2 separate regions of the Mus musculus genome follow, and region 2 is reported to be linked to region 1. The links are microRNA targets in miRTarBase. Many come from high-throughput screens and were not tested one by one. Region 1 holds a microRNA gene; the other region holds the end of a gene's coding sequence.

Evidence for each region. Region 1 holds the annotated microRNA mmu-miR-3094-5p (UGUUGGGGACAUUUUUAAAGC, at 2,275-2,295, shown strand). A microRNA usually pairs through its seed, bases 2 to 8, with sites in the 3' UTR of a target mRNA and lowers its output. Matches are read on the target gene's strand: a 7mer-m8 pairs with bases 2 to 8, a 7mer-A1 pairs with bases 2 to 7 and ends in A, and an 8mer does both.
Region 2: the mRNA of 6030458C11Rik is a reported target of mmu-miR-3094-5p. Seed matches in the 3' UTR shown: 8mer at 1,175-1,182.

What each region holds. Positions count from the first base shown.
Region 1 is chr4:40,991,422-40,998,542 of GRCm38, forward strand. It overlaps Mir3094 (microRNA 3094), which reads left to right and starts at 2,274; the gene lies at 2,274-2,337. Nfx1 (nuclear transcription factor, X-box binding 1) reads left to right here. Exons shown (of 24, transcript NM_023739.3): 7 at 323-462; 8 at 2,338-2,437; 9 at 2,542-2,759; 10 at 5,394-5,491.
Region 2 is chr15:12,804,479-12,811,599 of GRCm38, reverse strand. 6030458C11Rik (RIKEN cDNA 6030458C11 gene) reads left to right here. Exons shown (of 9, transcript NM_029998.3): 9 at 756-3,423. The coding sequence ends at 888. Among named protein-coding and RNA genes, the nearest start is that of Gm41274, 9.5 kb to the right of the region's middle.

The DNA.
Region 1 (7,121 bases):
GGCCAGTGAGATTGCTCAGTGATTAAAAGTGCATGACTGTTGAAAAGGACCTGAGTTCCATTCCCAGGACCCATGTTGGGCAGCTCACAAGAGCTGGTCACTCCAACTCTGGGGACATGACATCTCTGGCCTCCATGGCCACCTGCACACCTGTTTACAAACATGTCTACACAAAATTAATTAAAAATTTGAAGGAAACACTTAGAAAAAGTTGGGGAGAGCAATGTCAAGAGAAGCGTTTACTGGGTGTTGAGGGAAGGGCTTGGGCTTCAGTCTGTGTAGTGGGAACTTCGGAGTGATGCATTTGTGTCTATCTTTATAGGCACACGGTTCGCTGTGGTCAGCCTGTCTCAGTCCACTGTTCTAATGCATGTGAGAATATCTTGAACTGTGGTCAGCACCACTGTGCTGAGCTGTGCCATGGGGGTCAATGCCAGCCTTGTCGGATCATACTGAACCAGGGTAAGTGGTGTATGTGCACCTGTTAGCACTGCTCGCAGGCATTTCTGGAATTGTGTGGTGTGTCAGTTATATTGCAACAGAACTGCTCACAGAAGCCTGCACTAGAGGGAGAGTCCAAGGAACAGGGATCAAAAGCATGTCCATAGCGAGGCATCTATTTATACTTACCAGGATGTCGAAAATGAAAGACTAAAATCCAGATGTTGGCAAGGGTGAAGCATCTAGCATCTTCATACAATGTTGACAGGTGTTTAAACTGCTACAGTCACTTTGACAACTGTCAACCTCAGCATAGCTATAAGCAAACTTGTGAAGTTAAGCATGTGTATGTCATGATCCAGCCAGACCCTGCCTCAGAATAGAAGAGATGGGAAAGGGAAGAAACAAAGCTCAGCAGAGCAAAGGCTGCTCGTAGACCAGGCTGCTCTCAGAAGCCCCTGGCTGCTGGAGTTTGTCCACCAGTTCACTGGTTCCAAAGGACTGATTGTTCTCTGTATGAATTCATCCAACAAATGATTGTTCTCTGTATAAATTCATCCAGCAAATACTTACCTGGTAAGATGTGCGTTTTAGTGTCACAGTGGGTAAAGATGCACATATTCTTTTTTTGAAGACAGAATGTATTTTTTAATGTGTATGGATGTTTTGCCTTCATATGTATGGGTGTGTCAGTGTGTGTACCAGACATGCCTTAGTGCCCAAGGAAGCCAAGGACACATCAGGTTCATGAAACAGGAGTTACAAGCAGTTGTGAGCCACCACATGGGGGCTGAGGAATCAAACCTAGATCCTCTTGAGAGCAACTAATACTCTTAACCATTGTGCTCTCTCTCTCTCCAGCACTAAAATGTTTATTTTTAAAATGTAAAAAAAAAAATATTTTTCAGTCACTTGAGGTTTTCCTCTTGCCATGTGCTAGAAGTTGTTTTTGGCTCTGTTTACTATTTTATGGATATGATTTTTTTAAAACTATTCTCACTATATAGCCGTCTAGCCGTCCCTGTCTTGCCTAGAATTTGCTGTTAAACCAGTCTCTTCTTGAACTCAATTACATTTATTCTGATGTTGATTTTCTGGGCCAGTAGCTAACCTAAGTTATCCTAAAAAAAGAAGTTAGCATTTAATTAGTTCCATAGTGTTTCCAGTTTAGGTTTTTTTTTTTTGTTGTTTTGTTTTTGTTTTTGTTTTTGTTTTTTTTTTCCGAGACAGTGTTTCTCTGTGTAGCCCTGGCTGTCCTGGAACTCACTCTGTAGACCAGGCTGGCCTCGAACTCAGAAATCCGCCTGCCTCTGCCTTCCAAGTGCTGGGATCAAAGGCGTGCGCCATCACGCCCGGCTAGTTTTTACTCTTGTTCACCATTTATCATATGGGCAAGGTATAGACTAATTTGTGATAAATATCCTTTGTGGAAAAAATGTAAAGTGATACCAGAAAAATTATGTAATTTAATAAAAATTATAAGTTTCTTTCAACAGCAGGGCCCTTTTTGGGAGCATTTCATGTGATCCATTTCACTTGAGTTGAAGGGATCTAGGTGTCCACCCCTCTGCATCTCAGTCTAGCTTGCCGGCACCCTGTGCCATGCAGGGAGCTTCACAGTGCCTGCTGCCCACCATTGAGACTGGATCGGGCCCTCTGACGCCTGAGGTCATTGTTTACAGGGTATCTTCTGCAGCAGCACTAAGGCACTGGCAGAGGGGGCAGAGCGTGCTTTATTCCCACGTAAAGCTCTTAGATGGGTGGGAGAGCTGCCGCATAAACAACATTCATGTCTGCATCATGTCTGGTCTATACTAATGAACATTTATAGATTGTTGGGGACATTTTTAAAGCATGGATTGGTTATTGATTTGTCCTTTAAATTGTGTCCTCAAGTGTGCTACTGTGGCAGCACCTCCCGAGATGTGTTGTGTGGAACCGATGTGGGAAAGTCTGATGGATTTGGGGACTTCAGCTGTTTAAAGATATGTGGCAAGTAAGGGTTTCCTTTTTTTACCTTTAGATTAAAGTTTCTTTTAGAATAAAGCTTCATTTTATATAACAGTTGTGCAATTAATTGTCTGTTGTTTTTCTTAATAGGGACTTGAAGTGTGGGAGCCATACCTGTTCTCAGGTTTGCCACCCTCAGCCGTGTCAGCCTTGCCCACGGCTCCCCCATTTGGTGCGATACTGCCCTTGCGGCCAAACACCTCTCAGCCAGTTGCTGGAACATGGAAGTAATGCTCGGAAAACATGCATGGATCCTGTCCCTTCCTGTGGAAAAGTGTGTGGCAAACCCTTGGCCTGTGGTTCCTCAGGTAACTAGTTGACCTAAACTTATTTTTTAAATATGTAGGAGATGAAGAGATAGCTCAGTGATTAAGAGCACTGGCTGCTCTTTCAGAGGATCCAGGTTCAATTTTAAACACCAACATGGTGGCTCACAGCTGTCTGTAATAAACATACATGAAGGCAAACCATTCATACTCATAAAATAAAAATGAAAAAGATTTTATTTTTTTAAAAATGTAAATGTTTAGGAATAATGACGTTTTCACCAAGTAACATTAAATGCCTAAGAGCAGGGGTTCTTATAAATGTGATGATCAAATTTGGATAGATACTTTTTTTTTTTCTTTTACTCAAACTACACTTGTGAAAATACAGATTCCCAAGTCATGTCTCCAGTTTTATTGCCAGCACCATCAGTTCTCTTAACAGCCTAGTCTAGTGCAAACACCGTATAGGCTTTTACTGATCTAGCATTCCAGGAGTGTTTAAATGTCATTTTTTATAATAGGAACATGCAAAAACAACACTGGATGAGATATTTAAGAACTGAAATTTTAAGTGTTCAGCCACTTAAACATTCAAAGAATGCCTTCTAGAGCTAAGTCCCTCCCCATAGGTGGGGATGACGCCTCTGAGCATCATTTTGTCTGGGTAAATACTTTTCTAAACTTTTCCTTCGAGCAGGCTCTAACTAAGCAGCCCTGGTAAAACCGGCAGCCTCTCCAGGGCTGGGATGACAGATATGAGCTACCATACCCAGATCATATTACCTTTTAAAGACTTGTAACAGAAGATAATTTCATTTACATTGTTGATTGATCTTTCTTGTGGACCTGTTACCCTGACTAAAGTGATGATGTGGGGTCCACTGAGGTTTCTCAAGCTATCTGCTCTGCAGCTGTGTGTGTGTGTGTACAGTTAGGATTTTATTACAGGCTTTCTGAGGCTTTTTGTTGTTTGTTAAGGTAATTTGGCTCTTGTTACTTATTCTTGTTAATATTTTTAGTGCTGCTGCCTTCTGATCTCTAGTGATGCCTTGTTTCTTCCTTTTTTATGGCTTCTGGTTATTTGTATATAGAAAAGTTCATTGAAATTAGATATAAAATAATGTGAGTTTTGTTTGTTTTAGGGCTGTCATACTGTTTTTCTTTCTGAGACAGGATCTTGTATGTAGCTCAGGCTGGCCTCTGTAAGCCTGCCCCCTTGTCTCAGCCTCTCAATGGCAGGGTTACAGACATGTACCACCTGTCTGTTTACTCAGTACCTGGAGGTTTGAGTGTGACTTGGTCTTTGAAACATGCACAGGTTTAGCTTTGTAGCTACTTGCTGGGCTGAGGTTGTAGCTCAGTTAGTAGATGCTTACCTAGCATGAGTGAAGCTACTGGTTCCATCCTCAGCTACACACTCCACACACTCCACAAAGTAGAGGCAGAGAATTTTGCAGTTCATAGTTATCCTAACTACTTAGCATTTTTCAGACCAGCCTGGACTACATGACACCATGTCTCTAAAAACGGAAAGTTTTTTTTCTTCCCAATTGATTTTAAAAACATATTGATAATACTGAGATAGCTCAGTGTTTAAAAGTGCTACTGCCAAACCTGATAACTTGTGTTCTGTCCTGGGGGCCCACTGGGTTAAAAAGGAGAGAACTGACTCAGTCCTACAAGTTGTCCTCAGACATTGCATGCATACACACAAAATAAATGGTGGCACACACCTTTATTCCCAACACAGGAACCAGAGGCAGGCAGGGTTTCTGTGAGTTCAAGGCCAACTAGGTCTATTACATACATTGACATGTGTGCATATCACACACAATAAGTATAAATTAATTGGCTTGGCTTGTGTCAGGATCTCACTATGTAGCTCTTGACTGTCCTAGAGCTCACTCTCTCCAACTTCATACTCAGAGATCTGCCTGCTTCTGCTTCCCTGGGTGCCGGGACTAAAGGTGTGTGCCATTCTACCTGGCTTGATAGATAGGATAAATGTATACTAGTAAAATTAATATAAGCGCGACACTGATGTGGACTGGCAGTGTAACTCCTCAGTAGAGCAGTTGCTTAGCATGCACAGTTCCCTGAGCTTGGCTTTCAGTGCTGCAAACATGAAAACAACTACGGTTGTCCTTTCATGAGCCTCTGAAAGACGACTTGTCCTGGGCCTGGGATAGTGGTACATACATGTAATCCCAGCATGCAGGCCAAGAGGCGAGAAGATTATGACTTTGAGGCCATCTTGGACTACATAATAATACCCTGTCTCAAGAAAGGGAAACAAAAAAAGTATTTGTCCTAAATCTAGTTATCAGGTGAATGCAGGCTGTTCGTGGCTGCGTAGAGAGCAGCCCCAATTGATGGAACTATGGATTGTGCCTTCAGAATTGTCTGCGATCCCCAGATAACTTTCAGAGCCTAGAGCATTTCATCAAAGTCATCACAATTAAATTTTAGGGAGATCTGAATGTAATGTAAAGATGTGGGACCTAAAGCAAAGGCCGGGAAGTCTGTGCTTTCCCTCAGCAGGCAACATGCTAGTGCCCAGCCTGCTGGGTGGAGGGAAGCTGAGGATGAGGACACAGCGTTGGTAGTGAATTTGGAAATACCAGGATCAGTCAGTGCAGTTGTCACTCCCCACTCTGTCCCTTTTTATTACAGATTTCATCCACACCTGTGAAAAGCTTTGCCATGAAGGAGACTGTGGGCCGTGCTCTCGCACATCAGTCATTTCCTGCAGATGCTCCTTCAGAACAAAGGTAAGGCTAGAACTGTTTAACATGGTGATTGTGAGAGAGGAGGAACCAAAATAATCCAGCTTTACTCCAGTGTATGACTCACTGAGTTCCCCCAGTGGAGCATCTGGAGGGTTGCTCACCCCAAGTATACATGTGAAGAAAGAAACAGCACTACTGTGATTTAGCCACATGGGAACTGGGCACAGCCTACAAAACTCCTCAATTGAGAGTTTAGGCAACTACTAATATGGCCAACATGACCACTTAATCCTCATCTGAGCTGAAGGCCAGTGGGCCCAGGACCACTTACAACGTGATAATTTGGTAGCCTGAATTCACTGAAAACTATCACAGTTGTGATTGCAGGAAAGGACAGAGATTAGAATTAGTCGATTGAAAAAACATGTAGGAAAGATCCAAGAAAAGAGCAAATGCTCCATTTGTCCTTCCTCTATGACCTTCTCGGGTCTGTGTGTGATAATATAGAGAGAATATTCCAGCCAGGAAGGTTCACAAAAGCCTGTGTGTTTAGAATGTATATTGTCATCCTGGTATGGCCTACAAAGCCAATGTCAGTCTCTCCAGACTTTGGTAGCTACTGTGTGACCAAAGCCTCAAGCCTAAAACTGTCCAGTGTGGCCAGCCTGCTTCTATGTCATATGCTTAAGACTACCCTGTTGACACAAGCCATAGAATAACAGTGTTACTCAACTAAACAGTCCCTTTTGAGAGACAAGTGCAGAGGCCAGGATTCAGGTTCAGATTCTAATTTCAGCCCTAGATAGTGATTGGGCATCTGACTGTCGCTCTGAAGTTGGGCTTTAGTGCCCATTTCTGTTTCTAACCAGAAGAGGCATGACGTCTTCTATGGCTGTCTTGGGAGGGAGTCTTCTAAGTAATGATCTGTCCTGTTGTTCTACCAGGAGGTCATTTCAGTTCATGGCAGGACTTCCTCTAAAGAACATAGGCTAGGATGAAGACAGACCTTAACAGTTGATTCTTTTTGTTAAAGTAGTTAAGGTCTGAACAACAACTGATTCCTAGGTTATTTGGAAGATGTAATAGTTTAATGGATAAGCTTCAGAATAAAAGAAAAAAAAAGGAAGCATAGTATAGTGATTACTTTGATGGCCATTGTGTGAAGCTTACGGGATATTTATACTAAAAGCCACAGTGTACGTGGCTGGAGCAATGGCTGAAGGAGCTGAGGGTGTAGCTTAGTGATAAAGCATGTGCTTATCGTATAAGGAACACCCCCAGAAAAAAACCAGTCAATGATCACCAATTTTGTAAGGCCCACAGGTGCTCTTAGGGACTTTTGAACAAGAGTTGCAAGTAGGGTAAGAAACAAGCTATACAGATAACTGCTGTGTGCTTGTATTTCTCTCCAGCAGTCCCGTCTCTGCTTTCTTGCTTTCATTCACGCTGTCCTCACGCTCACAACCCATGCAGTGAGTGTATTCTTCAAAAGCTTTGTAAATTGAAATTATGCAACTCTTTCTAATTGGTATAAGTTCTGTAAACCCTTTTGACAAGTTAAAAATTCTCTTCAGAAAATTGATACCACTGCCCATCATTTAGCCACGTGGATTTTTCTTTGTTTTGTTTTTCAAGGCAGGGTTTCTCTGTGTGGCCTGTCTGTCTTAGAACT
Region 2 (7,121 bases), not on the chromosome of region 1:
ACTCACCCGTGGCCCTACCCCCACCACACACACGCGCGCGCGCGCACACACACACACACACACACAGAAAAGATGGCTGAGCAATGGAGAACATTGGCAGCTCTTGGAGAGGACCTGAGTTCTGTTCCTAGCACCCAACATTGGATAGCTCACCACTCCAACTCCAATCTTAGGGTATCCAGTGTTCTGTCCTAGACTCTGTGGACACCGGCACACATGGCTGCACATTCACACATACAATACAAACACATAAAAATAAAGCTTTAAGAAAAAAAAAATGGCCTTACCCTGAAATACAGCCCTTTCTCACCTATGTGGAGATGGTGAGCTTGCTGAAGGTGATCTGGGGAGGTGGCTGAGGGTAAAGTGCTTGCCACCCAACAATACAGGCCTGAGTTCAGCTGTGGTAGCCATGCTTAAGATAGGCACTTAGAGGCAAAGGCAGGAAGGTCACAGGAACTGTGGGACCTTCCTGGTCTACACAACCAGTCTGAGGCCTTGGGGTCTGCTTAGCAATGTCCCATCTCGATATCAAATACCAATCCTTAGTATTATACCTGTCCTATAGAATATCATTTTAGAAAACAATAAAGGACAATTCCTGTAAAGCACCAAAAGTGGGGTAAGCATCTCCCTGCTCTCAGCCGTGACTCCACAGTCGCCTGTGGCCCTCGCTGGCAGCAGTGCACTGGCTGTGCCTCCACACGGGCGACTTTGTTCTCACTCTGCTCTGCCCCCTTTCCGCTTGGTTCCAGGTCAAGTCTGGATGATTACTGTCCTCCGGAACAAGTTGACATGATTCAGGGAAAGGTCCTCGATGTGCTGCACTCACTCTACGGGACCCTGGACACTCACCTGGTGTACTCAGAAGAGTCCCCTCTGAGCTGAGACCGTGCTAGGCTGCTGTGCAGTTTGGCGCAGTGACAGACCCGGCTTTTGTTTCTGGGCTTCCAGAGTGCACTTTCTTGTTAACTCTCAGTTGGAATCAGAAATCTCCACGCAAGTATCAGTGACCAACCACATACAACACTTGGGGTAGACGCAGGGGTTCTTGTTTGGTTTTATTGTTTTCACATCAAATCCGTTACCCCGGTTGATGGAGACTGTCTGTTATCTTCCTTGCTTCCCATCGCTGCCTTTGATTCTGTAAGAGGGGTTTTTTTTTTTTCTCTTTCCCCAACAAGGGTTTGGATGATATGAGATTTATTTATTTATTCGCTGATGTTTACTTAGCACTTTTGAGAGCCAGACTCTGTTAAAGACAAGCTGCTCTGTCCTCGTGTGGGAGACCTGAGAAGCAAATAAGGGCCCACAGCAGTCTCAGGGAAAAGGGAGAGCCACGGCTGCGTCTGGAGAACTGTCGGCTCTCAGGGCACCCTTGACCATAAGTATAAAGTAACATTCGCAGATGGCATGTCAGAAGACCCTTGCCAGTCCATGACGGTGCTTGCAGAAAGTCTGCCGCGCTAAGCGTGTTGGAATTGTGCCCACGCGGTTGCTGGATCTTCTCCAGACTTGTTTGTATGCAAGGGGTCTGGTTGAATACACCTAAGCAAAATTTTGTTGTTGTTGTAGGTTTTGTTTGGGTTGTTTGTTTCTTTTTGGTTGGTTGGTTGGTTTGGTTTGGTTTGGGGTTTTTGTTTGTTTTTTGGTTTTTTTTTGAGACAGGGTTTCTCTGTGTAGCCCTGGCTGTCCTGGAACTCACTCTGTAGACCAGGCTGGCCTCGAACTCAGAAATCTGCCTGCCTCTGCCTCCCAAATGCTGGGATTAAAGATGTACGCCACCATGCCCGGCCGTTTGTTTTTGATGGGTTGGTTTTGATTTTCTGAGATGACGGGGTTTCTCTATGTATCCCTGATAGCCCTGGAACTCGGTCTGTAGCCCAGTCTGACCTCAAACTCAAAAGATCCGCCTGCCTCTGCCTCCCAAGTGCTGGGATTACAGGCGTGCACCACCACTGCCCAGCTGCTTACAGTGGAAACGCCTTTTGGGAGTTTTGCCTTGGTGGTCATTATAGTCCTCAGTTGGCATTAAGCATTTAAGCACTAGGTGTCATTTTCTTGGCAGTCAGTCAATCAGTCGAGTGGTTAGAAAGTTGCTAAGCAGATAAGGGCACTTGCTGCTCTTGCAGAAGGCTGGAGTTCAGTTCCTAGTACCCATATGGCAGCCCACAACCTCACAACTCCAGTGTTCTCTTGTGGCCTCCAAAACTACACACGCATGCGTGTACATACCCACATGTAAACATATAAACATAAAGTTTTTATTGGAAAGACCTGTCACTGCATAGAGAAGAGAATGTTTTCTGCGCCGTGCATTGAAGATGATGCTTCATATATTTAATGAGCCAAGTTTGCCCTTAGCCAGAGAGTGGCTGCAGCCACTACTATTTACCCTGAGTTCCCACCCCACCAGGCGTGAATGGGACCGTCTTTATCCTAGAAGCTAATTTCTGCTTGCCTGTTCCCTGCACTTTTGTTCAGTAATTACTTTATAACTGCTTAATTTCTTTAAAGGGTAAGATGATATGTAAAGAAAAAATAAATATCCATCACTCCTGGCGAGCACAGTAGCTTTTGTCTTCACAGCCCGTTTTCAACCCTCGCCTGCACGTGGGCCTGGAGAGGGGAGTAGCCAGGATCAGAGTGACCTACCTCGAAGCGGCCAGTTCTCCAGGATGCCTTACCCTTGCCCTGCGGTGCGTACTCTTCCTACCGTGCTCATGTTTTCCTCTGGCGAATTCTCTTGGCACTGAGGAAATTGACAAAAATCCAATACTATGAAAGCTTGTTTGTATTGTGGAAATAAAACCAACTGATAGCCTTCCATCCTGATAATCAAAAGATTTGTGTTCTTCCAAACTCAGAACTGTAAAATTGTTTTTAAGCTCTGAAAATGTCTTGTTAAAGAGTTCTATAACTAGACATTTCTAGGAATAAATTAGTCTATGTGCAAAATGAAATTAAATCCTGTATTTGGAAGCTTTAAGGGTTTCAGGTCAAACTATAGAACTAATTCTTCTTCGTGTCAGTGCATGGACTTAATTGAGTTTTAGCTGTTTTGGTTTTGGTTTTTTATTGTTGATGGGTTACTGTAACTGCAGTGGACTCTGATGTGAGTCATCATTTTTTAAACCTGGGTTGGATAAAACTTTTTAAATTACTAAATAAAATAAGCATCTACTAACATTTTTAATTTTTTATTATTTTAGTGTGTTGCATGTATATGTGTGTACCACATGGCTTTAGTGTCCATGGAAGCCAGAGAAGGTGTCCAATCCCCTGGACTTGGAGCCAGTACTCTTAACTGCTCTGCCATCTTTTCAACTCCCTAAGATTTAACTTTTATTTAAAAATTTTTACATACAATGTATTTTGTATAATTCCTCCCAGATCCCCCCTTCCTACTCCATGGTCTATCTCTCAAAAACAAAAAAGGAAAGAGGAAAAAAAAAGGTCAAAAAAGGTACCAAAAGTCACACACAAAAAACACAAGAGTATTTTGTGTAGGCCAACTGCCCCTTTCATGGTACTTGCCACTAGAATTGTCGACATGCCCAGTAGCGCTCCTCTGGAGAAAACTCATTAAACTCATTGCCCCTTTCCCAGAAAATACCAATTATAGATAGCTTTTTAGTAGCAGGTAGGGCTTTCTTCCTACTTTCTCTTCTCAGTGCTGGGATTTTGTCTGCTTTTAACCTTTGCGGGTCTTGTGCGTGCTGCCACAGTCTCTGTAGTTCGCATGCCCGTCGGTCTTCTCTCTTTGGTGTCATCCACCACTCTCACCATCTTCCCACCTCCTCTTCCACGTAGATCCGTAAGTCTTGAGGGCAGGGGGTAATGGAGACGTTCCACTGAGGGCTGTGCGCCGAGGTCTCCAGCTCTGCCCATTGCTCAGTTATGGGTTTCTGAATTAATTACGACAAAGCAGCATCTCTGATGAGGGGTGGACAATACTCTGATCTATGCGTATAGCAGTGTGTCGTTAGGAGTCATTTCATTGCTCTGTACCATTGGCAAGATTCTAGTAGGTTTTCCCCTTAGCCCTATGACCAATTTAGTCCCAGGTATCTTGCCACTTGAGCAGTGCCAAGCATATCTTCCATCTTAACAAAGTCTTCAATCCAATCGTAACGCTTGCACCACTGTTGAAACCGTGTTTGTAAGTTGTAGGGTTTGTAGCCAGGTGATGCCAGTGACCACTTTACTCCTCCAACATGCAAAGTACCTTCCAGCACTGTGGACAGTAGTCAGCAGGGATGAGACTTCTGGCTGGGCACCAGCGCAGGCCAGTTCTGCTTCTGCCTTCCGTGTGTTCAGGCACTGTAGCTCAGCTGCCTGGCATGAAAGCATAAGCAGGTTTGTCCAGGCTTATCCAGGCCGGGTGGGTTTGCAGGAACACGCTTGTCTTGAATGCCGGGGGTGGGGGGGGCGATGGTGGGGGGGTTGTTTTTGTGGAGGAAGAAGCCTTCTCTGAGAGTTTTCAGTGTTACCGCTTCTTTATTAGGGGGTTAATAAGGGCTATATAAACCTTGGGGAGTGGGTAGCAGGTTGGGATGTAAATTATTAACTGGTGCTGCGGTGCTGGGAACGCTTCATTTGCATGAAGAGGAATTCCAGGTGCTTGATGAACATGTCCTTGTAGGCAGAGAGCACATTACTCCTGTAATTCGGCTATCAGGCTGCATGGCTACCTCGGTGGTGGACGAGGGAGTTGCAGGCCCCGAAGAGGAAAGAAGCAATCCTTACTCCTGCCAGTCTCAAGATGAGTTTTGGGAGTTTGGACATGTCTCAACCTCACCGTTGTCCCAGGCCTGTTCCCCAAGTCACACCTCTCACTTGCCCCACACACCAGCTTTCTTTCTCTGTTTGATGACATAAGAAAGGTCACTTCAGCGACTGGGCCTTACCTTTCAGTTCTGATCAATAGCCAATAGCCTTGACAATAGCCTGTGATGTTTAGGGGACTGTCTATGGAACCCCTTTGCCAACCCAGTAACATTTTTAATCTTGTACGTACATGGTCAAGGATGGTTGGATCTTTTGTGATCTGACATGAATAAGACCTGAAGAGAATCATGTTCCAAAGAGGAAAGCATAACCTTTGACATCATTTTCCAAGAACTGTGTCTATGAAGTTTAGATCCCTAAAGTTACCCTGCGTTGGGTGAGCATTGCTGACCACTGAAGCAGCGACGTTTCTTCCCCACCTCTGGTTCTTTCCATCCACTTAGAAGCACAGCTATAGCCCTGCGCTGCCTCTCTATTCCTTCCTGGGTCAAAGAGTAAATGAAGGAACATGGGATCTTTTCTTCTAGAAGGATTTGTTCTGCTGTCTTCATCCTCCGATGCAAAGTTTTGAAAGTAGGCCTATGATGGTTTGTCTATCCTTGGACCAGGGAGTGGCACCATCTGGAGGTGTGGCCTTGTTGGAATAGGTGTGACCTGGTTGGAATGGGTGTGTCACTGTGGGTGTGGGTATAAGATCCTCACCCTAGTTGCCTGGAAGTCAATCTCCCACTAGCAGCCTTTGGATGAAGATGTAGAACTCTCAGGTCTGCCTGCGCCATGACAGCCTGGATGCTGCCATGCTCCCACCTTGATGATAATGGACTGAACCTTTGAACCTGTGAACCTGTAAGCCAGCCCCAATTAAATGTTGTTTTTTATAAGACTTGACTTGGTCATGGTGTCTGTTCACATCAGTAAAACCCTAACTAAGACAAGGCCCCAAAGAGTAGCTAACAGGGGTGCCAATGGATGACCAACTCCACCTTAAGAAAGCTGTTGCTCAGAGCTGTAATCCTGTCCCTTATCAACAGCTGTAATGGTGATACAGTTATTTAGAAAATTAAGAGAGAAAGGTGATGTCATTTGGGCCTCAAATTGCAATATAACACTCGCTTTGTGGGGGGAAAAATGAAATTCTGACAAAAAAGAAATTCTCTCAATATAAAAATTTTAGGTGCTACATAACAGAGCTTTTTAAACTCTTTATTTGCTTTTGAGTATTAATAGACTAGTAATTTGACTTTTATCTGGTATCATACTGAGACAGGCCACACAGTGCCTTAGAGAGATTCCCAGATAAATAGCATATAGTCATAAAATGTCAGCAAATAGGATGTTATAATTCAAAGCGAGATACCCACAAATTAGACTTTAGTGTAACTTGCACAAATAGAACTTCATATTAAATAACACAAATGAGGATATGACTATAGAAAGATATGATATACTGATATAAACAGTATTCAATATTCAGGCACCCACACATTAGCATGTGGCTGTTATAAAATCAAGCAAAAGCACCATGTGTTTGACGTTGATACGTCTGTCAAGCTGTGGAGGCCACCAGAACTGCACAGCAAGGCTCTGCATCAAAAACCAACAAGGCAGCTGATACTGAGGGCCAAAGACAAAAAGTGCAGATCACTGGGGCTTTGCTCATCGCTCCAGTTCTGCTCTGCTCTTCCAGGGATCTCAGGTAGGTGTCTGCTTCCCTCCTGAGAAAGTCAGAGGCCTCTTCTAAGCAGCCACAACAGTTCCCCTCTAAAAGTGGCCAAAAGGCATCCCAGACCAGTGTTGCCTCCCAGACATTTACAGCAGCCAGGTTGGTTGGTGTGACTAGATCAGAGACAAACAGTCGGGAATGATCTTTGGCCCTTGGTCAGTGGCTTCCAGGAAGCCTTTTCTCAAGTAGCAGTTCTTCTCCTGTGCCATTCTAAGCTTTGCACTATCCAAGGCCATCAGCTTGTGTTTAATGGTTGCCTCCATCATCTTCGTTTGCATCCTCTGCCATTCGAGGCCCCACAAAGCTCTTGCTGCCTCCCTCCTTCCCTTTCTAGGCCTTATCTTCATTGCCCAGGTGTTGGGATTACAGGTGTGAGTAACCACATACACCCTAGGACACTTTCACTTTAACTCATGAAACTGATTTTACACTTCAGATGTATAAGTGAACAAAGATACCAGGAAAATATTGAAAAATAAACATAACAGATTATATACTGAATGTGTAATTATGTTAGTTAAAATAAGGCAGTATAGATCAGCAGACATAACCAGAATAAGGTACAGAAATAGACCTGCATTGATTACATAAAGTATATTTATCTAGT